Oryctolagus cuniculus: one gene and its partners. The protein of the gene in region 5 purifies or fractionates together with the protein of the main gene of each other region. This does not show direct contact. Links are inferred from orthologs where the notes say so. Each region holds a gene or a part of one and is shown on either strand. Other genes may lie near its edges.

The links.
Region 1: the proteins of PTEN (region 5) and PARK7 purify together in Homo sapiens (affinity purification with western blotting; 4 studies listed by BioGRID, with this or other methods). This does not show direct contact. The link is inferred for Oryctolagus cuniculus from reciprocal best matches to the Homo sapiens genes PTEN and PARK7.
Region 2: the proteins of PTEN (region 5) and USP10 purify together in Homo sapiens (affinity purification with western blotting; 4 studies listed by BioGRID, with this or other methods). This does not show direct contact. The link is inferred for Oryctolagus cuniculus from reciprocal best matches to the Homo sapiens genes PTEN and USP10.
Region 3: the proteins of PTEN (region 5) and OTUD3 purify together in Homo sapiens (affinity purification with western blotting; 3 studies listed by BioGRID and IntAct, with this or other methods). This does not show direct contact. The link is inferred for Oryctolagus cuniculus from reciprocal best matches to the Homo sapiens genes PTEN and OTUD3.
Region 4: the proteins of PTEN (region 5) and CENPC purify together in Homo sapiens (affinity purification with western blotting; 3 studies listed by BioGRID, with this or other methods). This does not show direct contact. The link is inferred for Oryctolagus cuniculus from reciprocal best matches to the Homo sapiens genes PTEN and CENPC.

What each region holds. Positions count from the first base shown.
Region 1 is NC_091438.1:159,774,641-159,779,325, reverse strand, and holds the start of PARK7 (Parkinson disease protein 7), read left to right. Parts: upstream 1-1,645; 5' UTR 1,646-2,742; exon of another isoform or gene 2,743-2,784; intron 2,785-3,400; exon of another isoform or gene 3,401-3,556; intron 3,557-4,685. UniProt on the Homo sapiens protein: Multifunctional protein with controversial molecular function which plays an important role in cell protection against oxidative stress and cell death acting as oxidative stress sensor and redox-sensitive chaperone and protease.
Region 2 is NC_091449.1:66,212,887-66,217,770, reverse strand, and holds the start of USP10 (ubiquitin carboxyl-terminal hydrolase 10), read right to left. Parts: upstream 2,943-4,884; 5' UTR 2,826-2,942; coding exon 2,805-2,825; intron 1-2,804. UniProt on the Homo sapiens protein: Hydrolase that can remove conjugated ubiquitin from target proteins such as p53/TP53, RPS2/us5, RPS3/us3, RPS10/eS10, BECN1, SNX3 and CFTR.
Region 3 is NC_091438.1:150,770,161-150,774,337, forward strand, and holds part of OTUD3 (OTU domain-containing protein 3), read right to left. Parts: intron 2,931-4,177; coding exon 2,782-2,930; intron 1-2,781.
Region 4 is NC_091439.1:97,746,655-97,750,831, forward strand, and holds part of CENPC (centromere protein C), read left to right. Parts: intron 1-1,116; coding exon 1,117-1,187; intron 1,188-2,023; coding exon 2,024-2,118; intron 2,119-4,177. UniProt on the Homo sapiens protein: Component of the CENPA-NAC (nucleosome-associated) complex, a complex that plays a central role in assembly of kinetochore proteins, mitotic progression and chromosome segregation.
Region 5 is NC_091446.1:42,813,735-42,818,604, forward strand, and holds the start of PTEN (phosphatidylinositol 3,4,5-trisphosphate 3-phosphatase and dual-specificity protein phosphatase PTEN), read right to left. Parts: upstream 3,366-4,870; 5' UTR 3,365-3,365; coding exon of another isoform or gene 3,338-3,364; 5' UTR 2,821-3,337; coding exon 2,753-2,820; intron 2,294-2,752; exon of another isoform or gene 1,384-2,293; coding exon 1,289-1,383; intron 1,126-1,288; exon of another isoform or gene 1-1,125. UniProt on the Homo sapiens protein: Dual-specificity protein phosphatase, dephosphorylating tyrosine-, serine- and threonine-phosphorylated proteins.

The DNA of each region.
Region 1 (4,685 bases), on a different chromosome or scaffold from region 5:
TGAGTTCCCGGCTCAGTCCCGGCTGCTGCGGGCATTCGGGGAGTGAACTAGCAGATGGGAACACTCTATTTTCTGTATGTCTCAAAATAATAATCATTTCAAAAGCAATACTGACCCCGATCCATTGCAGACCTGACGGTGATGCCGGTATCTCAGGAGTGTAAACTCTGGTTTGTTCTGCTCCCTGCTGAGCCGTCTGTACTGTGCTGTGGCTGTTTCCTGCCCCAGCAGACCACTACCCTAAACCCCCTTAAGGGTTTACTATGGGGAACGACAGATTTTCCTTCCATCTGCCTAAAACCTTTCGAGTTTTTGTAGCATTGATTTATTTTTTTTATTTATTTTATTTTTTTATTATTATTTTTTTTACAGGCAGAGTGGACAGTGAGTGAGAGAGACAGAGAGAAAGGTCTTGCTTTTGCCATTGGTTCACCCTCCAATGGCCGCCACAGCTGGCGCGCCGTGCTGATCTGAAGGCAGGAGCCAGGTGCTTCTCCTGGTCTCCCATGGGGTGCAGGGCCCAAGCACTTGGGCCATCCTCCACTGCACTCCCTGGCCACAGCAGAGAGCTGGCCTGGAAGAGGGGCAACCGGGATAGAATCCGGCGCCCCTACCGGGATTAGAACCCGGTGTGCCGGCGCTGCAAGGTGGAGGATTAGCCTAGTGAGCCGCGGCGCCGGCTGTAGGATTGATTTATTTAATTTGAAAACTCAATTTTCTTAGACATTTAATTTGAAAAAATATTTTGAGATTCCCCATTTGCTGGTCCTCTTCCCAAATAGCCATGGCTCCAGAAGCCTGGGCTGGGTCAGGCTGAAGCCGGGAGACTCCATCCAGGTCTCCTATAAGGGTGGCAAGAACTTGGGCCCTCCCGTGCTGATTCGCATTAGCAGGAAGCCAGAATCAAGCAGAGCTGGGATTTGAACCCAAGCACTCCTGAAATGGGGATCCCAAGTGGCATCTTTAAAAAAAGATTCATTTATTATGTTTGAAAGGCAGAGTTACAGGGAAAGACGGAGAGAAAGAGAGATCTCACCTGCTGGATCTCTTCAAGTGGCTGCAGCAGCTGGGGCTGTGTCAGAGCAGAGCCAGGAGCTTCTTCCCAGTCTCCCACGCGGGTACAGGGGCCCGAGGACTCGGGCCATCTTCCACTGCTTTCCCAGGCCATAACAGAGAGCTGGATGGGAAGTGGAGCAGCCTTGGGGCTTGCGCTGTGGCATAGCGGGTAAAGCCGCAGCCTGCAGTGCCGACATCCCATATGGGCATAGATTAGAGACCCGGCTGCCCCACTTCCGATCCAGCTCTCTGCAGTGATGGGAAAGCAGCAGTAGAAGATGGCCCAAGTGCTTGGGCCCCTGCACCCGCGTGGGAGACTGGGAAGAAGCTCCTGGCTCCTGGCTTCAGATCGGAGCAGCTCCAGCCGTTGGGGAGTGAACCAATGGATGGAAGACCTCTCTCTGCCTCCCTCTCTCTGTGTATCTCTGACTTTCAAATAAATAAATCAACCTTAAAGAAAAAAGAAGTGGAGCAGCCTGGACTCAAACCGGTGCCCATAGAAGATGTAGGGTCGCAGCCCGTGGCTTCCACTCCCTGAGTGGCATCTTCACCACTGCACCAAACGCCTGCCACACTGTTAACAATTTTTTTTATTAAACATTTTCACTGCCTTGTAAGGATCAAACGGAATACATGGATTTTTTGTAAGCTAACAGTTATTTCTTGAAAATAAACATGATTTTAATATCTAAATTGAAACCTTACAGAAACGCCGACATACTTAGAACATCGCTTGATCGTTATTCTAGAACACGGAGTTGGGCAATGTATTCCCCCACCGGGGGCTCTGCCCTCCAGTCACTCTTGTCGGTGGGAATCCGAGGTGGGCTCGGTGGGCATCACAGCCCCGAGGCCAGGCTCCTCACGGTGCCCCTGGCCTTGGCCCTTACAGCACCGGTGGGCCTCGGGGTCCCGGGACCGCACCGGGGAAGCGGTCCACGCGGCTGAGGCCCCACTTCCCCCGGTCAGTTCCCCAGGGCTGCTTCCGAAACGGACCCCCAGGCTGCATTTCGGACGCGGGCGGGGGTCCTGCCGTCCTCCCTCCCTCGGGCTGTGGCCTCCTTCCCCCCACACGCACGTGCGGGGTTACACCGCGCCCTGATCCACCTGTCGTCGGGGTGCGGGCGAGGTGCGGGGCAGCGCAGGACAGCCCACTGGGCCGCCCCGCGGGCGTCGCACCCACAGGCACGGCCGCGCAGCGCACTCGCCCGCCGTCTCGGCTGAAACCGACATTTTAAAACCCTACACGACCCCATTCCGTGCTTGTTGGATTGACAGCCGCGACATCAGCTCCGCCGGGGAGACACCATGACGTCACTGCGCGTGAACGAAGCGCCACTCGGGGTCGCGGGCCCCCGCAGGGGCGAGCCCGGGAAAGAGAACCACAGACTACGAGAACGCCGGCCTAAGGCGCGCCGCAGCCGCCCCGAGGCGCGGGACGGCGCCACCTTGCAGCGCGCACAGCGCGAGGTGACCCCGGCCGGGGCGGGCAGGGCCGTGCCATCCGCAGCAGGGGGGCGGCGTGCGGAGCGGACGAGACGGAACCCCCCCGTCGCCGTCAGGATGGACTCGGCCGGATGTGACGCAGGGCGACGTAGGCTTGCGCGTTGCGGGGCGCAGGGGCGGGGCCCGGCGAACGTGCGTGCGCGCGTGCGCGTACTTGCGTCTGCCTGAGGTGGGCTCGGGGTGAGTGGTCCGCGGCGTCGCGTCTGCAGGAAGAGGCACCGGGTGCGGGCCGGGCGCGGGAGGGCGCGGGAGGGCGCGGGAGGGCGCGGGAGGGCGCGGGAGGGCGCGGGAGGGCGCGGCGTTGCTGCCGGGGACGCCGGGGCGGACGCAGCACCGCGTCCCGGCCGCCGGGAGGCCGCAGTGTCCACGCCGAGCACCTCCGCAGTGCGGGGGTCGTTAGCCCCGCGGTGTTGGCGTCCGTGGTGTCGCGTCCCGAGCGGGGCGCTGCAGAGGACTCGCCCCCGGGGCGGGCCGCGCGCGCAGGGGTCCTGGGCGGGCGTTCCCGTCTCGGTCCGCCGGGCATCCGCGGCCAGGGAGCCCGGGCCGTGGGCGACGCCCCCGTGCTGAGTGTGCCCCGCCCGTCCCAAGCCCCCGGGGGCGAGTGGCCGGGGCCCGCCGTGACCCTCGGGCCGCCCCGGGGAGCGGCCACGCAGAGCCGCGGTCACGCAGGGCCGTGTCGGGTTCGTGTGGAGGGCGCTTGCTCTGCGGTGGATCGTGAGGAAAGAAACTGAGGAAAACGTGACGGAAACTCCCACGGGGAACCAGGAGCCCCTGAGCGTTCGTGGGGACAGAGTTAGAGACAATGAGTTGACGTGGGCGCCAGCGGCGTTTTGGAGTCCACGCGTAGTGTTTTTCAGGATTTGCAATTCGTTGTCACTATGTGCAACGTCCTTCACGCCCGTGGACTACAGACATTTTGGTGCTGAGATAAACTCTCCATTGTTGACTTTCCGAAGGAGCCTCGCGCTCACGCCGTTAGCGCCAGCCTTGCCAAGTGAGTGTGTCACACACTCACGCCGTTAGCACCAGCCTTGCTGAGCGTGTCTCACACGCTGTTAGCACCAGCCTCACCGAGTGTCTCACACTCAGTGTTAGCACCAGCCTCGCCGAGTGTGTCTCACACTCACAGCGTTAGCACCAGCCTCGCTGAGTGTGTCTCACACTCAGTGTTAGCACCAGCCACACCGAGTGTGTCATACACGCTGTTAGCACCAGCCTCACTGAGTGTCTCACACTCAGTGTTAGCACCAGCCTCGCCGAGTGAGTGTGTCACACACTTGAGCCATTAGCACCAGCCTGGCCGAGTGTGTCACACACTCACAGTGTTAGCACCAGCCTCGCCGAGTGTGTCTCACACTCGCGCCATTAGCATCAGCCCGGCCAAGTGTGTCTCACACAGCGTTAGCACCAGCCTCGCTGAGTGTGTCTCACACTCAGTGTTAGCACAAGCCACACCGAGTGTGTCACACACGCTGTTAGCACCAGCCTCACTGAGTGTGTCTCACACTCACGCCATTAGCGTCAGCCTGGCCGAGTGTGTCTCACAGTGTTAGCACCAGCCTCGCCGAGTGTGTCACACACTCACACAGCGTTAGCACCAGCCTTGCCGAGTGTGTCACACACTCACAGTGTTAGCACCAGCCTCGCCGAGTGTGTCTCACACAGCATTAGCGCCAGCCTCGCCGAGTGTGTCTCACACACTCAAAGCGTTAGCACCAGCCTGGCCGAGTGTGTCTCACACAGCGTTAGCACCAGCCTGGCCGAGTGTGTCACACACTCACACAGCGTTAGTACCCGCCTGGCTGAGTGTGTCTCACACAGCGTTAGCACCAGCCTGGCCGAGTGTGTCTCACATTCACACAGCGTTAGCACCAGACTGGCTGAGTGTGTCTCACACTCACAGCGTTAGCACCAGCCTCGCCGAGTGTGTCTCACACTCAGTGTTAGCACCAGCCTCGGTGAGTGTGTCACACACTCACAGTGTTAGCACCAGCCTGGCCGAGTGTGTCTCACACTCAGCGTTAGCACCAGCCTCGCTGAGTGTGTCTCACACATAGTGTTAGCACCAGCCTGGCCGAGTGTGTCTCACACATAGTGTTAGCACCAGCCTGGCCTAGTGTGTC
Region 2 (4,884 bases), on a different chromosome or scaffold from region 5:
GTTTCCCACACGGCCATCTTCCGCTGCTTTCCCAGGCCATAGCACAGCAGAGAGCTGGAGCAGAAGTAGAGCAGCCGGGACTCAAACAGCCACCCATACGGATGCTGGCACTGGAGGCAGCAGCTTTACCCGCTACGCCACAGCGCTGCCCCCCCGCCCAGCTCTTAACCCAGCCAGTACTGACAAAACGGTCCCGGAAAGACCTCTGCGTGACCACACCGATCACCAGGAAAAGTGCAGCCCAAGCACATGCGAGTCTTTGGAAACGACACCTACACTGCTGAAGTGGCACTAAAGTGACAGATGACAGTAATCCAGCGGCCCCAGGCCAGCAAACTCCACCGCAGACAGATTTGTCTGCTTTGTGCCACGGTGATTCCTGCATGTGCGGCAGTGAATAGAAGCGGGGCAGCCGCGTGCAAATTCAAGAGCAAGCACGTCCTAACCCTTCACTCTCCAGCAGGCCAGCAGGAGCGGCGCCCTCAGCAGCCAGGCTTAACGGGGAAGCAGACCTAGCAAGAGTCACCTACAGGTCTGAAATCTGCATTAAAAATATATAAAAAATAAAAAAGCAAGAGGCCAGTGTCACGGCGCAGGAGGTAAAGCCATCGTGTGTAATGCCAACTTCCAACATGGGCACCGGTTCGAGTCCTGGCTGCTCCTCTTGTGATCCAGCTCCCTGCTAACGGCCTGGGAAAGCAGCAGAAGGTGGCCCGAGTGCTTAGGCCCCTTTACCCGTGAGAGACCCAGAAGAAGCCACTGCGGCCATCTGGGGAGTGTCCAACAGTCGGAAGGTCTCTCTCTCTCTCTCTGTACATCTTCCCTTTGCTCTCTGTAACTCTTCCAAACAAATAAATAAATTTAAAAAAGAAGGCAAAACGAAATAGCCTCACTGTAACTAATTCGAGTGGAGACGACCCCGGTTCCCCCACCCCTTGAGTGTGTTCTGAGCACGGCATGTGCCCACGCCCCCAGGTCTGGGCTGAAAGCCGGCGTCCAGCCTCAGGGCCACGTCCCTTCCCCTGACAGCGCTGGAACACGGGCCCGGCGTCTGCTCTGGAGAGGAACCCAGAGGGCAGGGGGCCACGCTTCTCTCAGGGCCACTTCAGAACACTCTGGGCCCAGCCACACGGAGGACAGGCCCTGGATGGGGGCCGCTGGCACCAGACACGCCACGCCCACTCAGGTGACAGAGAACACACACCTGTGGCATCGCATCTAGTCTCGGGATGCGCCCTCTACATACAGTCAGTACCCCAGCACACTGCAGGAATGTCACCACACCCGGCGGGTCCCCACAGCCCCCAGGGGATGAAGACTGGGGGGGGGGGCGCTCAGCGCTGTGAGGCTCCGGGGCAGGGAGGCGTCAGCCAGGCACTCGCAGGTCCCTCGGGACCACAGACACTCATGGAGCAGACACACTTACTCTTCAACAGGGTTCAACCCTCCCAAGCCAGCGGCACTCAAAATGTTTCCAACTTCACTGCTCCACTTCCGCGCAGGGAATGGGCTCAACCAACACTTCCCAGTATGATGGAAACAGGCTACAATCCACACAAAACTGTAAAACTGTAGCCTTAACAAGTCGGTTGTAAAGGAGGCTAACTGGGGCTGCTACTGCGATAGCTACCTCGTACCGGGTCAGCCTGCCTGGCTCGGGGCTCGGCGATCGCTGCTGAATGAATGACGGGGCCCCAAGCGCCCAGACTCTCGGGACAGCGTGACCGAGACCCGGCCGGTCCAACAGCCAAACCCTGCTCAGGACGCCACTGCTTCCTTCCACCACTCTCTTTTAGACAGGAAAGGAAGAGGGGTCCAACCGCGCTCGGCCCCGAGGCGCAGGTCAGTCTCGCGCTGGCCAGAGGCACAAGTCCCGGGCCACGGACGCAAAGGCCATCGCCAGGAGGCACGCGTGGCCTCCGCGAACGAGCCCGGGCACCGAGTATAGGAAGTGCGGGAGCCTCTGTGCACGCGAAGCCCGCAGAAACGCACGCCAGGCCTCCCGGGGGAAAAGCCCGCGACGCACCGGCTGCCCGGCGACCCGAGTACCGGGAAGTTCCGACGGCACGCCGGAGCGGGCGCCCCAAGAGCGGAGCCCCCCGAGAGGTGCTGTCCGTGCATATTTAAGGAAAGGCCCGCGGCCCGCCCGGGGGAGCCGCCGCCAACAAAGCGGCGCGGCAAGGCGGGAGCTGCCCCGCCGCCCGCCCCGCACCTACTTTGTGCCGCTCTCCCACCTCTCATTCAGAGGCGCGCGGCGGCCGCCCAGGCGCCGGCGCCGGGGCCCGGGGCTCAGCCGGCGCCCAGCCCGGGGTCCACGGCCGGCGCGACCCCCAGCCCGCGCCCCGCGCCCCCAGCACCTCCCCCCCGTGCGCGACAGGGGACCCCCGCCGCCGCGCCCCCCGCCGGCGCCGCCCCGGGCCCCGCGGCACCCGCACGCCCGCGCCGCTGTCCTCAGCGGCCCCGGCCCCCGGCCCACCCGCGCCGGCGGGTCCCGCGGGGTCCACGGCGCTGGGGGCGGCCCGGGGGCGTGGGGCGCGGGGCGCGGGCGGCGGCGGCAGGCCCGGGCGCGCCGACGGCGCCGCCAGAGACCCCGGGGCCGCGCCGCGCCCCGCTCGCCCCGGGAAGCCGCGGGGCCGGGGACTGGGGAGCGGGAACCGGGCGGCGGCGGCGGCCCCGGGGCCTAGGCCCGGGCGGCGGGTCCCGCGCCCTCCCCCACCCCACACGCTCGCTCCCGGCCGCCCGCGCCCGCGCGCGCTCCCCCAGGCTCGGGCCCCTTCCGGCCGGGGGCGCGGGCCGCCGGCTACCTGCGGGCTGCGGAGGGCCATGGCGGCCCGTTTGAATGGGACTCGGCGCGGCCCGGCGGCTCACGCTGCTTCCCCCGCCGCCGCCATCTTCTCGCCCGCACATACACACTCGCATCGGCCGCCGCGCCTGCGCACTGGCGGCGCGCCGCGGGGCGCGGGCGGCCGGGGCGCTGCTGCGCGTGCGCGGCCGGCAGGTGGGCGTGCGCGGGCGCCTCCGGCCGGGCCGGGCGGCCGCGGGAGCCGGGCCGGTGGACTGTGAGCCCCGCCGGCTCGGGCAGGTGCGGGCCTGATGGGGAGAGGGCGTGCAGGTGCAGGGGGAGCTAGTGCCCCCAGCCCCCGGGGCCCTCGCTGCTCCAGGAGAGTCTCCCTTGGCTGATCAGACCCCCGAGGAGGGCGTCTCCAGATTAGCGGAGTCGCCCTCCCGTGCGTTCGTTCACTGCTTCCCTCGCGGTTCTGCCGGGGCCCTGGCTCCGAGCCACGCCTTACGCGGGCATTGCAAACCCAAAGCCAGAAGCACCGAAGCCAGGCACACAGGTGAAGCGCCTGCCGTGAGGCCTGGCCACCATCCTGGGTCCGGGGAGCCCCCCGAGCGCGGGCTGCCACCGTGTGTGCGGCTGTCACGCGCCCACGGGGAGCCCGGGTCGAGCAGCCCCCGGTGATGCATCCTGCAGCCGGCGCAGCCCCAGTGGCCGGGCAGTGTGCGGAGGAAGCGCTACAAAGACGCCGCAGTGAGATACATTGGGTCTCGGTGGAATCCCCAGTGTTGCAAGCTGGTGTTACTGTTTGTTTTCAGGATTGGTTGTCAGAGTTACAGAGAGAGAGAAATCTTCCATCCGCTGGTTCGCTCCCCAGATGACCCAAGCGTCCAGGACTGGGCCAGGCCGGAGCCAGGAGCCAGGAGCTGGATCCGGGTCTCCGACATAGGGGGCCCAAGTACGTGGGCCGTCTTCCGCTGCTTTCCCAGGTGCATTAGCAGGGAGATGGGCTGGAAGTGGAGCAGCCGGGACTTGAACCAGAGTCCCTGTGGGATGCCCGCTGCTGGCCCCTGCGGCTTGTTTTGTGATAGACAGATCAGAAATCGGGTTACATATAGATGATGAGTGAATTACTGCTGACTTTCATCACGTGATGATGATGTTGAGCTTGTGAAGAGAATGCCCCCAGGCCAGCATTGTGGCGAAGCTGGCAAAGCCACCATCTGCAAGACCAGCATCTCATATGGGTGCTGGCTCCTGTCCTGGCAGCTCTACTTCAGATCCAGCTCCCCACTAATGGCCTGGGAAGAGCGGCAGAGGATGGCCCAAGTGCTTGGGCCCCTGCTACCCATGTGGGAGACCTGGAAGAAGCTCCAGGCTCCTGGCTTCAGCCTGGCCCAGCCCTAGCTGTTGTGGTCATCTGGGGAGCGAACCAGATGGGAGATTCTCTCTGTCCCTGCCTCTCTCTCTGTAACTCTGACTTTCAAACAGATAAATAAATCTCAAATAAATAAATGAAGAACACCCTCATTGTTAGGAGATTCGTTCTAAATTTAGTTGTGAATATCATAATGCTTGCAAACTTTATAATAGTTCAGCAAAAAAAAAATAGAATTCATATAAACACAAACATATATAGAGAAAGCAAATATGGCAAAATGTTAACAGTTACTGGAGTAAGAGTTGTTATTTTTCAACTTCCTCTGTTTGAAAATGTTTTTAACAAAATGCGGGGGAAATAGGATCTATCATTATGTCTGTTCTATGATTACAAGTGCATATGGATAGACACTGGAAGGGACACCAAGTCCAGTGACAATTTATAGTAGTCCATGTTTTTATAGTAATGTTGCTTCAGCAAAAAAGATTTTTTATTATGATAATGAGGCGGGCATTTAGCCTGGATTTCAGTGTCCACGTCCCACATCAGAGGACCTGAGTTCAAGCCCCAGCTCCAGCTCCTGACTCCGCCTTCCTGCTAATACAGACCTCGGGAGGCGTCGAGGACGATGGCTCAAGCCATTGGGTTCCTGCCACCGTGTGGAAGTCCTGGGTTCGGTTCCCCACTCCTGGCTGCAGCCGAAGCCCAGCCCTTGCTGCTGTGG
Region 3 (4,177 bases), on a different chromosome or scaffold from region 5:
GCACTGGGAAAGCAGTGGAAGATGGTCCAAGTACTTGGTCCCTGCACCCACATGGGAGACCCAGATGGAGTTCCAAGCTCCTAGCTTTAGCTTGGCCCAGCCCTGACTATTGCAGTCATTTGGGGTGTGAACCAGTAGATGAAACAGTTTTCTCTCTCGGTCTCTACCCTCTCTCTGTCACTCTGCCTTTTTTTATAGGCCATTATTTTTTCTTTTTAATATTTATTTGTCTGAAAGGCAGAGTGATAGAGAGGCAGAGGTAGACAGACAGAGGTCTGGGTCCGGCACTGTGGTGCAGCCAGTAAAGCCACCGCCTGCAGTGCCAGCATTCCATATGGGCGCTGGTTTGAGATCTGGCTGCTCCACTTCTGATCCAGCTCTCTGCTATGGCCTGAGAAAGCACTAGAAGATGGCCCAAGTCCTTGGGACCCTGCACCCTCCCCAGATGGCTACAATGGCTGGAGCTGTTCCAATCTGAAGCCAGGAGCCAGGAGCTTCCTCCAGGTCTCCCACGAGGGTGCAGGGGCCCAAAGACCTGGGCCATCTTCCACTGCCTTCCCAGGCCATAGCAGAGAGCTAGATCAGAAGAAGAGCAGCCAGGACTTGAACTGGCACCCATATGCTGCAGGCAGCAGCCTTACCCACTATGCCACAGTGCCAGCCCCTGCCTTTCAAATAAATAAAATAAATCTTTAAAACTCTTCATCTTTTATTTTATTTATTTGAAAGGTAAAGTGAGAGGGAAAGACAGAGAGAGAGAGGTCTTCCATCCACTGGTTCACTCCCCAAGTGGCTGCAACGGCCAGAGCTGGGCCAAGCTGAAGCCAGGAGCCAGGAGCTTCTTCCAGGTCTCCCACATGGATGCAGGGACCCAAGTACTTGGGCTGTCCTCCAGTGCTTTCCCAGGCACATTAGCTGGAGCTGGATTGGAAGCAAAGCAGCTAGTACTCAAATCAGTGCTCATATAGGATGCCAGCATCCCAGGCAGCAGCTTAACCCACTGTGCCATAATACTGTGCCCTGCTTTCAATTCTAGCTTCCTGTTAATAAACACCCTGAGAGGCAGCAGGTGACAGCTCAAGTACGTGGGTCCCCAATATTCACATGGGGGATCAGGACTGAATTTCAGGTTGCTGGTTTCATCCTGGCACAGCCATGGACGCAGTACGCATTTCAGGAATGAAACAGAAGACAGGAGATCTCTCTCTGCCTTTCAAATAAAATGAAAATAAATGAATATTTTTAATCTACTGATTTAAAATACCCATAGTCTCATTATCCTAAAATTGCATATACTTAATGGGCATTCCTTCTAATTTTGTTATCTAATTTAATCTTCCCAAGAAACCTTGTAAGACAGCTGTTTTTTTGTTTTTTTTTTTTGTTTTTGTTTTTGTTTTTTTTTTTTTGGACAAGCAGAGTGGACAGTGAGAGAGAGAGAGAGACAGAGAAAGAAAGGTCTTCGTTTTACCATTGGTTCACCCCTCAATGGCTGCTGTGGCCAGTGCACCGCGCTGATCCAAAGCCAGGAGCCAGGTGCTTCTCCTAGTCTCCCATGCGGGTGCAGAGCCCAAGGACCTGGGCCATCCTTCACTGTACTCCCGGGCCACAGCAGAGAGCTGGACTGGAAGAGGGGCAACCGGGACAGAATCCGGCACCCCTACCGGGACCAGAACCTGGTGTGCCGGCGCCGCAGGTGGAGGATTAGCCTAGTGAGCCGCGGCGCCGGCCAGAAGAGGTGCTTTTATTATCTCCCTTTTATAGAAGTTTAAAGAGGGCCGGCGCTGCGGCTCACTAGGCTAATCCTCTGCCTAACGGCGCCGGCACACTGGGTTCTAGTCCCGGTCGGGGCGCCAGATTCTGTCCCGGTCGCCCCTCTTCCAGGCCAGCCCTCTGCTGTGGCCAGGGAGTGCAGTGGAGGATGGCCCAGGTGCTTGGGCCCTGCACCCCATGGGAGACCAGGAAAAGCACCTGGCTCTTGGCTCCTGCCATCGGATCAGCGCGGTGCGCCGGCCACAGCGCGCCAGCCGCGGCGGCCATTGGAGGGTGAACCAACGGCAAAGGAAGACCTTTCTCTCTGTCTCTCTCTCTCTCACTGTCCACTCTGCCTGTCAAAAAAAAAAATAATAATAATAATAATAATAAAAAAAAGAAGTTTAAAGAGGGCAAGTGATTGCTGGAAAGTGTACCTTTCCAGACTTTTCCTACCATCTGTGTACCTTGTAAAAACAGGACCTGTCTAGCCACACTATTTTGTTTTTAATTCCATTTTATTGGACAGGCAGATAAACAGAGAAAAACAGAGGGATCTTCTGCCCACTGGTTCACTCCCAAAGGCCTACAACAGTTTGGGAGCTCAGCCCAGGTCTCCCACATGGTGTCAAAGAGGCGAGTGCTTAAACACGGCTGTCTCCCTGAGCGCACAGCAGCAGGAAGCAGAGGTAGACTTTGAACGCAGGCACTCTGATACGGGATGTGGCCATCCCAAGCCACATCCTAACCACTGCGCCACATGCCACACCCATACACACTATTTTATAGGCTGCCTCACTGAGTAAGAAGTCAGGACAAGCTTTTCATGTCAACTGACTTCATTTTCATGAAGGGCATTTATACTTACATCTATTGATTGCCAACTACCTAGCATACTGGTGCCTATTACAAAGTAACAAGTGAGCTGTAACTCAGACGATCAAGCCCTAGGGGAAGGCCAGGGATGCGGATGGACTTAATCACCCCCTGCATTATTCCAGAAGATTCTGCATCCCACAGTGAACCTACCGTGCTTCTCGAAAGGAACATCATCTTCTACAAACGGCTCAAAGTCTTCCCGCTGCCTCACCATGAAGTCCACTGTCTCCTGTCGGTGCTTGAGATGATTTCGCGAGTGTCCCTCCAGCTGGTCACCAAGAGCTCTGAACAGGCAATTGCTGCCAAAACAGGAACACTGGTCACGACCTTCCAAATGCGGACTCAGTTTACCTAAAACAATGTTTCGTGCCAGACCCTCCTCGGAAATCTCTCAGAGGTCAAGCTTCAACGCTAACCGTACATGATTCTTTGATTCTTTCCCAATCCTGGGGAGGCGGGGGGGAGGGGGGGCACAAGAGAGCTACCCAATCACATCACCTTCCTGAGAGGAATGAACAGGAACTCGTGCCCACTCACCAGCTGGCTGACTCAGGAGGGTCAGGCAATGTCCTGGGCCTCAGCAAGTGGACGTTGGGAGAGCGTAGGGTCTCCCAGCAAACACAGGGCCCAGACCTCAGAAGCCATTCCACACCTCAGGGCTGTGAGTCCTGGATCAGATCCCTCCCTGAAACAGGCGTCACTACAGCAGTCCACCTAAGTAACTGTTCATATAACAGACACTGCTTCTCAAAAGACGGCAATTGGTGAAGCTCCCAACACAAACAACTGAACTCAACATGCTGAGTCCCAAGAACACAGTGGAGAAAGCCAGAAAGCGCACGGACAGCAGCTGCACTGTGGAGACATCTCCTCCCTCGCCCCCTCACCTGTCTGTCAGCCAGCCAGCAACAACGCCCAGGTCATTCCTGCCAAATAAAAACCTGAAATACTGCGTTCTGTTTTTCGAAAATTAAAATGTCAGCAATAAACTGTAAGAGTTATGTTTACTTTCAAATGCCTCAAAGGCATCTACAATTCCAAACTATATCACAAACACAGAGGCCTGGATACAGAGACGAAAAGAAGACAAACACAATCTGGTACCCTGACAACTAAGCAAGTGCGCCACTCGGAAGCTAACAGCTGCCCAATTTCACACTAAACTGTTTACTCTTCCAAATGAAAAGCTGGGATGCTCTAACCCCAAACAGAAACTCATCCGTTTCAGGAGGATTTCAGACTTCCATGTGTAGGAGAAAAGGTTTTTTGCTTTGCAGTTCAGAAAAGTACATTTTCAATAGACTGTAACAGGGTGGCAGGAAACTCTTCTAATGTACAATCTCTTCTTTTTTCTTGGAGGGAGCAAGAAAAAGGGAGATTTCTAAAGAGTCTATAAATTAGAAAGCAAGAACCTTTACATCCATCTGTGACAAGATTCTAGGAGGGTCAGACTGCAGGGCTCTACGCTGCACTGAGTGTCCACTGCTGAAATCTAACGAGGGCAGCCATTTTTTTGATCACAGAGACAAAGCTAACAGATAAAATC
Region 4 (4,177 bases), on a different chromosome or scaffold from region 5:
TATAGGATTTGGTGACTATAAATGACTTTCTCTCCTGTATTCAGTCACTTGACTGCCAAAAATTTGTATCCACACTGTTTCAGCTGAACTTCCTATCTGACACTACATGCAGACTATGTATTGGTGACCTGTGTTCTGATAGTGACTGCATTATATTCTTTAGCAAGTCATCTGATCTGTGTTGGTTTCATCTGTGAAATAGGGGATAGCCTGCCTTTATTTGTAGTTGTACAGTGTATATCTATTATATATGGTATTCTAGCGTAGTTTCAAGGCCAGAATTTTCAGCAGTGACCTATATGCTATTACAAGCTCTTTTATTAATAGTAATAAGGTTTTCAAACTTTGGCAAGTCATTTGATCTAACTGGATTTCAGTTTTCCTATTTGCAAAGTAAGGGAATATGATTCATTAGTGGTTATTAACCAGATTTGCACATGAGACTCATCTGAATCACCCTAGAAAATCTGATTAAATTTATTTGGACCAATTATGTGTGTTTGTACAAAGCCAGGAGCCAGGAACTCCATCCAGATCTCCCTTGTGCGTGGGTGGCAGAGTCCCAGATACTTGGGCCATCTTCCACTGCTTTCCCAGGTGCATTATCAGGGAGCTGGATGGGAAGTGAAGCAGCTAGGATTCAACCCAGTGCTCATGGGATGCCAGCATTGCAAGCGGCAGCTTAACACACTAAGTCACAAAGCCTGCCCCTCAACATAATTTGTAATTTAAAAATTTGTACTGGTTCATGAACTGGTAAGATATATTGAATTAAAGGAACAGTTGGGAACTTGTAGGGAGGAATATGAAAATGTTGGTACTTGTGACTGTAAAGTCTTTGAAGGACTGATTGGATTCATTCAAAAACATTTATGTGCTTGTTGACATACAGTAGTAGTCTAAAACAGCTTTAGACATGAATGTTTAACTAAGGAATATAATTGTTTATGTAGATAATGACATACCCTCAAGTACTTGTTTTATCTTCAAATAGTAGAAATATTTTCCTATTAACAGTTTTATAATAATGATAAGAATTTTCAATTAAATAATAACAAATAACAAGTATGTTCTAGAAATAATATGTTACATTGTCTCTTTTTTGTGTCTTATTAGGGCACGTAATATTAATAAAGAACAAGGCCAGAACATGTTGGAATTCTTACAAGACTGTTTTGAAGAAAGAAGTAAGGTTTTATTTCTAGATGAAATTCTGACAGTTGCAATGGATAAAAATATAAATTTGTCCTAATAAATGTAGCAAACATGTTTCTAGCATTTAAATATATATTCAGAATTTTGAGTACATATGCAATCCCTCATGTATTCCTGATATACTTAGGATAATGTTGACAAAAATGACAATTTTCATCCCCATATCTGGTGATTTACATCCCATTCTAAGGAAGTTATGAATTATAGCAAAAACTTTTCAAGTGAGCATCAGAAAGTATTGGAGTAAGAATAGGCAAACCATAAGAAATAAGGATAGATGGTAGATATTATGGTTTGAGTTAGTCTCGAAAACATGTTGGGACCCTTAATCCCTAATGCAGCTGTGTTAAGAGGTGAGACCTTTGACAGGTGATTAGATTGTGAGAGCTGTACCGTCATGAATGAATGAATGCTGATTACAAAAGGCTTGAGGTTAGTAATTTAATCTTGATCTCTGGCATGCTGTCTTGCCCTTCTGCCTGCTGCCTCACCAGTTAAATCTCCATGACTTACCAGCCTTCACGATTTTAAGGTACAAATTTCTGTTCTTTGTAAATTGCCCATTGTTAGTGGAAAGATACCTCTTTGTACAAGCTCTGAGCAAAGAGCTGGCACATACTTCTTGAGGAGTCTTGTTTGCCTTTCTCAGTTTTTGATACCTTTCAGGAGCATTTGAATAGTTGAGTATTGTACTTTATTTAAGCTAATTGTGTTTAAAGAGGCAACAGCCACTTTTTCAAGTGTCATATAGAACTACTTTTAATGAAAGCCAATAGATATTATACTATGTTTCATAAATTTCTTCTAGGTCTTGCTAATGACTTTAGCACAAATTCTACAAAATCAGTGCTTTGTTCAACACCCAAAGTAAAAGACAGTTGTTTTCAGTCACCAGGCAAAGAGGTAAGTCCAAAAGAAGAACTGGTATAATAATTTAATGAAAGAAGTGGTTAATATACTATGAACATTTTAGTTTGTAAATCTGAAAGGAAATTCTGTAATCCTATTCATTTTCTATAAAATTTGAGACAGTATTTACAAATTATGATTTGATACATTTTGTGTTTGAAATTGAGAGTCTAGGAATTATAAAAATCATTTGATCATTTCTCCTAAAATAATATCTAATTTTGTTTTTAGAAAAGTGAGCAATTATTGAAGTTCCAGAACAGATTTACAAATCTGATTATTTTTTGAAAATTGCAGGCATTCTGTTGCTATCCAGCGAAATTAATCTTTTGTTGATTATGTCTTAAGAGGATAGCATGACAACTATACATATTTATTTACAGTTTTTAAAGCTAATCATCCAAGATAGATTATTCAAAAACACAGTACTAATCAGAAAAATTATGTGGTCCTAGAAGTAACATTTACTAAAAACTTATAAATAATCAACATTTTAAACATATAGTGTTTGATTCCAAGGAATGAAGACATAGCTGTTTTTTTTTTCAGAATTAAAAGGCCTTTGGTAGTGTGACAAATTACATGGATTTTTTATAAAGTCAACTTTATGTTTCTTGGTATGAACTGACTTGACCATAAATCAGATCTTCTGATCAGATTTGCTAATATATATTTATGTATTTCCATATGTGTTCATGAGTATTTTTTTTCTTAAAATGTTCTGTAGGGCTTTGAGGATTATGCTAGAGGTTCCTCTTCTGGATAGTATGTAATAGGTTTCTTTCTTTTTTTCAATATATTGCTCATTTACACAATTTTTTTGTCAGAGGTCATACTTCATCATTAGCATTTTCAAAAAAATTAATCTACTGATTCTACTATTTTATTCTCTTTCCCATCATTTTGCAAATTTTTCTTTTTAATTCTCAAGATCAATGGCATTATCTGTATAGATATTTACATAGTTGCTCAAATCATATTAGGATATAAACACTAGATACTCTCCAGTTCTGATTTCTTGACTCTTAGCTATTTCTTCTAGATATTTTGCCTCTAGTATTTATACCATTATTGTTTATGGAAGTTTAAGCTGTGTTTGTCATTACACTCTTGCTTTCTACCAGAACATATGCACTTCTACTTTTTAGCACTTTATGCTATAATTTTGGTAAGACAGTATTTATTTTTTAAACTATTAAGACTAAGTATACACTGTAGAATACTAGAGGCTAAATTTTCTTCATGTAGTTATTTTTTGTTTATAATTATTTTTATAGCTGTTTTTTTCTTGATTTAATTTTCTTGGTTTTTCCATTTTTTGACCTTCTGAGCACCTGTGACTGATTCATTATGAGTATCTGTGACAAAAGTATAATTGTCTTCTTTTTTTGTTTTTAAAGATCTTTTATTTATTTGAGAGGTAGAGTTACAGAGTGAGAGGGAGAGACAGAGAGAAAGGTCTTCCTTCTGTTGGTTCACTCCCCAAATGGCTGCAACGGCCAGAGCTGTGTGGATCTGAAGCCATCCTCTATTGCTTTCCCAGGCCATAGCAGAGAGCTGGATTGGAAGAGGAACAGGCGGTACTAGAACCGGTGCTCACATGGGATGCTGGCGCCGCAGGCAGAGGATTAACCTACTGTGTCATGGTGCCGGCTCCATAAATGTCTTCTAAGTATAAGCAGATACTTCAAGTAATTAATCATTTTCAGTTTTTTTTTCTGGAGATACCTTTCTTAGATTATTTTTTTTCTTCATCTGTCTACTTTAAGGCTTGTCACAGAGATAATACTATGTGATCTACAAAATCTTTTTGCTTTTGTGAATTGCACGTTATACTTCTTGAATCATAAGTATTCCTTTTTCTTGGTCTCTTCTTTAGATTCCTGAGAATTAAAACCTTACAAGTATGAAAATACCTTGATTTTACCCTCTTGATGGATAATTTGGGTGGGTACAGAATTCTAAGTTAGAAATTATTTTCTCAAAAAGTTTTGAAAAATAACTTATTTGAGAGGTGGAAAGATAATTAGAGATACTCAGAAATCTTCCATTG
Region 5 (4,870 bases):
ATCCTTGATCAAAACCAAGGTGTTGCACTTGAAACTGCAAAAAATACTAATGCTTTTCTATAACCACTAACTTTTGAAGTACAAAGGCCTAACTTTTAAACAACCAAAACTACACATCGTTGAAATTCTTGGGTTTCTGTCTTATTCAACAAGCTGACTCAGTACATTCAATCCACCGTATGAAAAAAGAAGCTAACACACCTACAATCTGGAGCTGCAGTAATCGCTCTTGGTACCATTTCTGGATATTAGCTGGTAGATTATATCTGACATTGCACGTAAATCAGAGTAGAATTAACGGATACCCAAAAGGTGTCAGAGGACCTGAAACCTGAAGAAGGTGAGTACTAATTCTGGCATCACAGTAATACTTACATTTCAAGTGAGAACTGAGGTTTAATCTCTGCAACTACTACTTGCTACACACATTACCCTTGAACCTGCACATTATCATCTGGGATCAAGAACTACTCAGTCTCCATTCCATCATGAAAAGAGCATTCAACATAAAACGCTACTGGAAATGCAAATTTTACTCCGGATTCTACATCACCCACTAGGAGAGAAAACGGCTAACTGAACAAAGATTTAGTGAATCGAACCTTATAAGGTGCACTGTGGCACTACTGATTTCAAACTACAAAACTTCTAAGTGCAGTTGCAAGCTGTAATTAACTTCATTTACACATACAAACCTACTTTTGCCCTCCCCACACACACCACATATACTGAAAATGGTTTTGCTTCTAAACTTACACCAATCAGTCCACAATTCACATTTTTAAAAGAATCTACCAATGCAACCCTAGAAACTAAAAACAAATCACTGCGCGATTCTGATGCAATATGCGGACGCGGAACACTAATTTTCATTTTAATCTGATCTATACCCTTGATCTAGGGCCTAACAAGATTGAATCGAAATATGCTCAATCTCCAAGCGTCTACTTTTTCGTTCACCTACAAGACCGGATTATCGAGCCCACTAATCCATCAACAGTGTACAGTATTCGGCATTAACGGACAATGGCCCTTAGGAAGAGACCACATACATGCACTACGAAACCAATCAGTGCCTTGACACTTGCAACCAGGCACGAGTTCCGTCTAGCTGAACACACCCTGGGCGGAATACACCCGAAAAGAGACACAAAAATCCATGCTCTGGAAATCTGACCAGGGCTCAACGCTACAGCTACCCCAAACTACGGAACATTTTCGCACTCGTCTACTCCCACGTTATGCGAGTGACAGAAAGGCAGAGAGCTGCCGCTGCAGAAATGGATACAGGTCAAGTCTAAGTCGAATCCATCCTCTTGATATCTCCTTTTGTTTCTGCTAACGATCTCTTTGATGATGGCTGTCATGTCTGGGAGCCTGTGGCTGAAGAAAAAGGAGGAGAGAGATGGCAGAAGCTGCTGGTGGCGGGGCTTCTTCTGTAGAATGGAAATGGCTCTGGACTTGGCGGTAGCTGATGCCCCTCGCTCTGCTGCCGCTTGGCTCTGGACCGCAGCCGGGTAATGGCTGCTGCGGCGGCTGCTGGATGGTTGCAGCGACTGGGCCTGCTTCTCCTCAGCAGCCAGAGGCCTGGCAGCGGCGGCAGCGGAATGGGGAGAAGACGAATAATCCTCGGAACGGCTGCCTCCTCCGGCGGCCTCCGGAGCCCGGGCCAGGGAGAGTGCGGCGGCGGCGGAGGGAAGGTTTAAAACCGGCCCGGGTCCCTGGATGTGCCGCCGCCGCCGCCGCCGTGTTGGAGGCAGTAGAAGGGGAGAGACCAACTCTCCGGCGTTCCCAGCCCTGGAAATGGTGACAGGCGGCTCCGAACCCCTCCCGGGAGCTGCAGCCGCCGCGGCCGCCGCCGCCGCCGCCGCTTCTCCCCCCCGCTCCAGGAGCGGGAGGTGCCGCCGCCGCCGCCGCCGCCGCCGCGCCTCAGCCGGCTCCCGCCTGAGCCCACGGCTTCCACCTTCCCTCGCAAGAAAAGCCGAGGAAGAGGCTGCACGGTTAGAAGAGAAGACGAAGAGGAGGCGAGAAACGCCGCCGCTGCCGCCGCCGCAGGCCGGCCGGCTCCCGGAGGGCGCTGCCCCCGCGGCTGCTCACAGGCGCTGAGAGGGGCTCTGGGCCGCGGCCGCCGCCGTCTCTCATCTCCCTCGCCTGAGCCGGGCCTAGCCTCACAGCGGCTCAACTCTCAAACTTCCATCATGGCTGCAGCTTCCGAGAGGAGAGAACTGAGCGCAGCCGCGTCCCAGCGCCCGGGCGCGTATCCTGCCGCAGTGCACAAAGAGTCCCGCCACATCACCGTCGCCGGCCTGCCCGCCCCCTCCGCCGCCGCCGCCGCGCCGGGAGCCGGGCCGCCTCGGGAGCCCGAGGGGAGGCGGGGGGCGAGCTGGAGGCGGACGGGACCGCGCCGGGGGAGGGGAGGGCTGGGCCGCGCCGGGGTGGGGTGGGGGGCGGGGGCGGCAGCTCCAGGTGCGAGCGCAGGGCCCCCAACCTGCTGGTGCTATTGAGCATGCCCAGTGTGACTGCCTGGGGCTCGCTCGGGCTTGTTCCGAGGCGCCCGCCCGTAGCTGCACTTGCCGCGGCTGCTCCTGCAGCAGCTCGGGGCGGGGGAACGAGCTCAGCCTCGGCCTCTGCCCGGACACCCGGCCGGAGCCAGGGCAGACTGCGGCGGGGCGGCGTGGGGGCGGAGGAAGGTGGATGATGAAAACTGAGACTGGTGCGTTGAGCGGTGTCGCCGACTGCAGTGTGAGGTTACCTGTGCACAGGTGGACCGCGCGGGTCAGTATCTAGGGAAATGCCGCGAGGACACCCCTCCCCCGCCATGGCGTGCGAACGCACGCACTCCGTTTGTCCCGCTGTGGACGATCGCGGCGGTTCGCAGGGATCTCACTGTCGCAGCCTCTGCCTAGAGCGCCCGCGCCGCCGCCGCCGCCGCCGCCCCCGGGTCCTCAAGGTGTCAGCCTCAGCACAAAGAACGACCCCCTATTGTGTCTCCGGCGGCGCGTCTCGCCTCATCCGGCTCCAGTCACCGCCCCACCTCTCGCTGCCCCAGCTACTCGGTTCATTTGCCCGAAAAGCGAAAGCTCTCAGCCGGGCGCGCTAGAGTGCACACGTCGCCCCCCGCCCCGAATTCCCAGGGCCCGAGGGCCTCCTGCCTAGGCCGCCTTAAAGAGGATCCCCGTGAGCGGGACGCACCCCCACAGCTCCCTCCGCGGCCCCCGGAGAGCTGAGCATCTGTCCCCTCAGGCTCCGGGTCCGTTCGCGGCGTCGAACTCGAGCTCGGTCCTCAGAGGCTGCCTCGCCCCGCCCACTCTCCGGGCCGCTGAGAAAACCTGGCACGATGAATCGCCCGCGGCCAGCTTCCGCGCTCGCCGGGCCGGCCGGTGCACGCTGGAGGCCCAGGTTGCCGGCCCGGGCGCGGCGTTCAGGACGGTAGGAAGCGGCAGCCCCGCGAGTGGGCGGGGCGAGGAGCCCTAGGAGGGTTCAAAAGGGGGTGGAAGGATACCCGAGCCACCGTCGGAACTACTTTCAGGAAGGGGTCACGTGTGCTCCGAGTTGGGGAACTTTCCAAATTCCCACTCCTCCAAGCGTAGCTCCGGAGGCAAGTGCTTCGCCAGCTACGCTCGGGGTGCTCCCGCCTGGCGCGGGCAGCACCCCCACACCCTCCCAGGCTGCAGAGGGACGGGGTTGGGGATGGCCAGTGGAGCCTCCACAGGATCGCTGTCTGGGCTAGCTGCTGGGCAGGCACCCCCATCCAAGCACGTGCCCCCGCTCCCGTGCACCGCTGCTCTCACCCTTCTGCTACCCACGGAGTGAGCTCTCTCTGCTGTGGATTGACAAGCACTGCTTGTTCTCAACCGTGGGAAAAGGGGCCGGGCCCGAGGGATCTGGCGCATCTCCCTCGTTGGTTGGGGTGAACCCTCTGGTTCCGTGCTGTCGGGGCCAAAGGCTCGTTCCCGCTGCGCCTGCTGCTTGGATTGCAGGTGTTGCAACAAACTTTTGAGTCGCTACCCCTGCACTGGTGAGCACGCCCCACCTACTGTAGACTCAGCCAAGTGCCTTATCTGGTCTAGTCCTTGGCCGTATGCCCAGAACAAACCTGTCAAGTCTTTCTGCAGCCCCGTGGTTGACCTATCCAGTGAGTGAGCTGGTTCACAAATGCTTAGACCTAGAGCGCCTCCTCAACCCCCTCCCCAAAATACGCACATCAGTCAGCTTCAAAATGAGAAGGGGCGTCAACCAACACCAACCTACGAATTTTTTTTTCTCTCTTTCATTTCCCCCCACTCTCCTCCCACCCCACCCGGCGCCCCGCTCCAGGAAAGTAGAATTCCAGGGGAAAATTTGAGTTCAGAAGTATCTGACTTAGACCAGGCTGAAGCCCTAGGTTGTTTTTTTCTTTTTCTCTTTTTTTCTTTTTTTTTTTTTTTTTTTTTTTTTGACATCTGAGAAAATGGGAATCAGTTGGCACATGTGTTGTGATAAATGGTGAGTAGATACCTAGAAAGGTCTAAAGCCGAGTTTTCTTGTGAGGAAGATTGTAAATGTGCACATCATCATTACAGGCAGCCCCTGAAGACTAGAAACCTCAGGAGGCCCAGCTCAGAGAGCCACAGGCCATTACCTAACTCCAGGACTGCTAATTAAACCGGGGATATTTAGGGACCTCTGAGGCTACATAAAACTGCATTTATATACAACATCCTTTTAAGATAGCACTGCAGGAGTTAGCAACCCGCTGAAGCCTCGGTGCTGGTATTTATTGGAGACTGGTTTTGTGCATGCTTCTGGTCAGCTCCAGGGAGGCAGGGATCCTAAGTGGAAAAGGAAATGGAGAGTAATCTGGAAAGAAGAAAAAGGCTTCCTTTGGTTT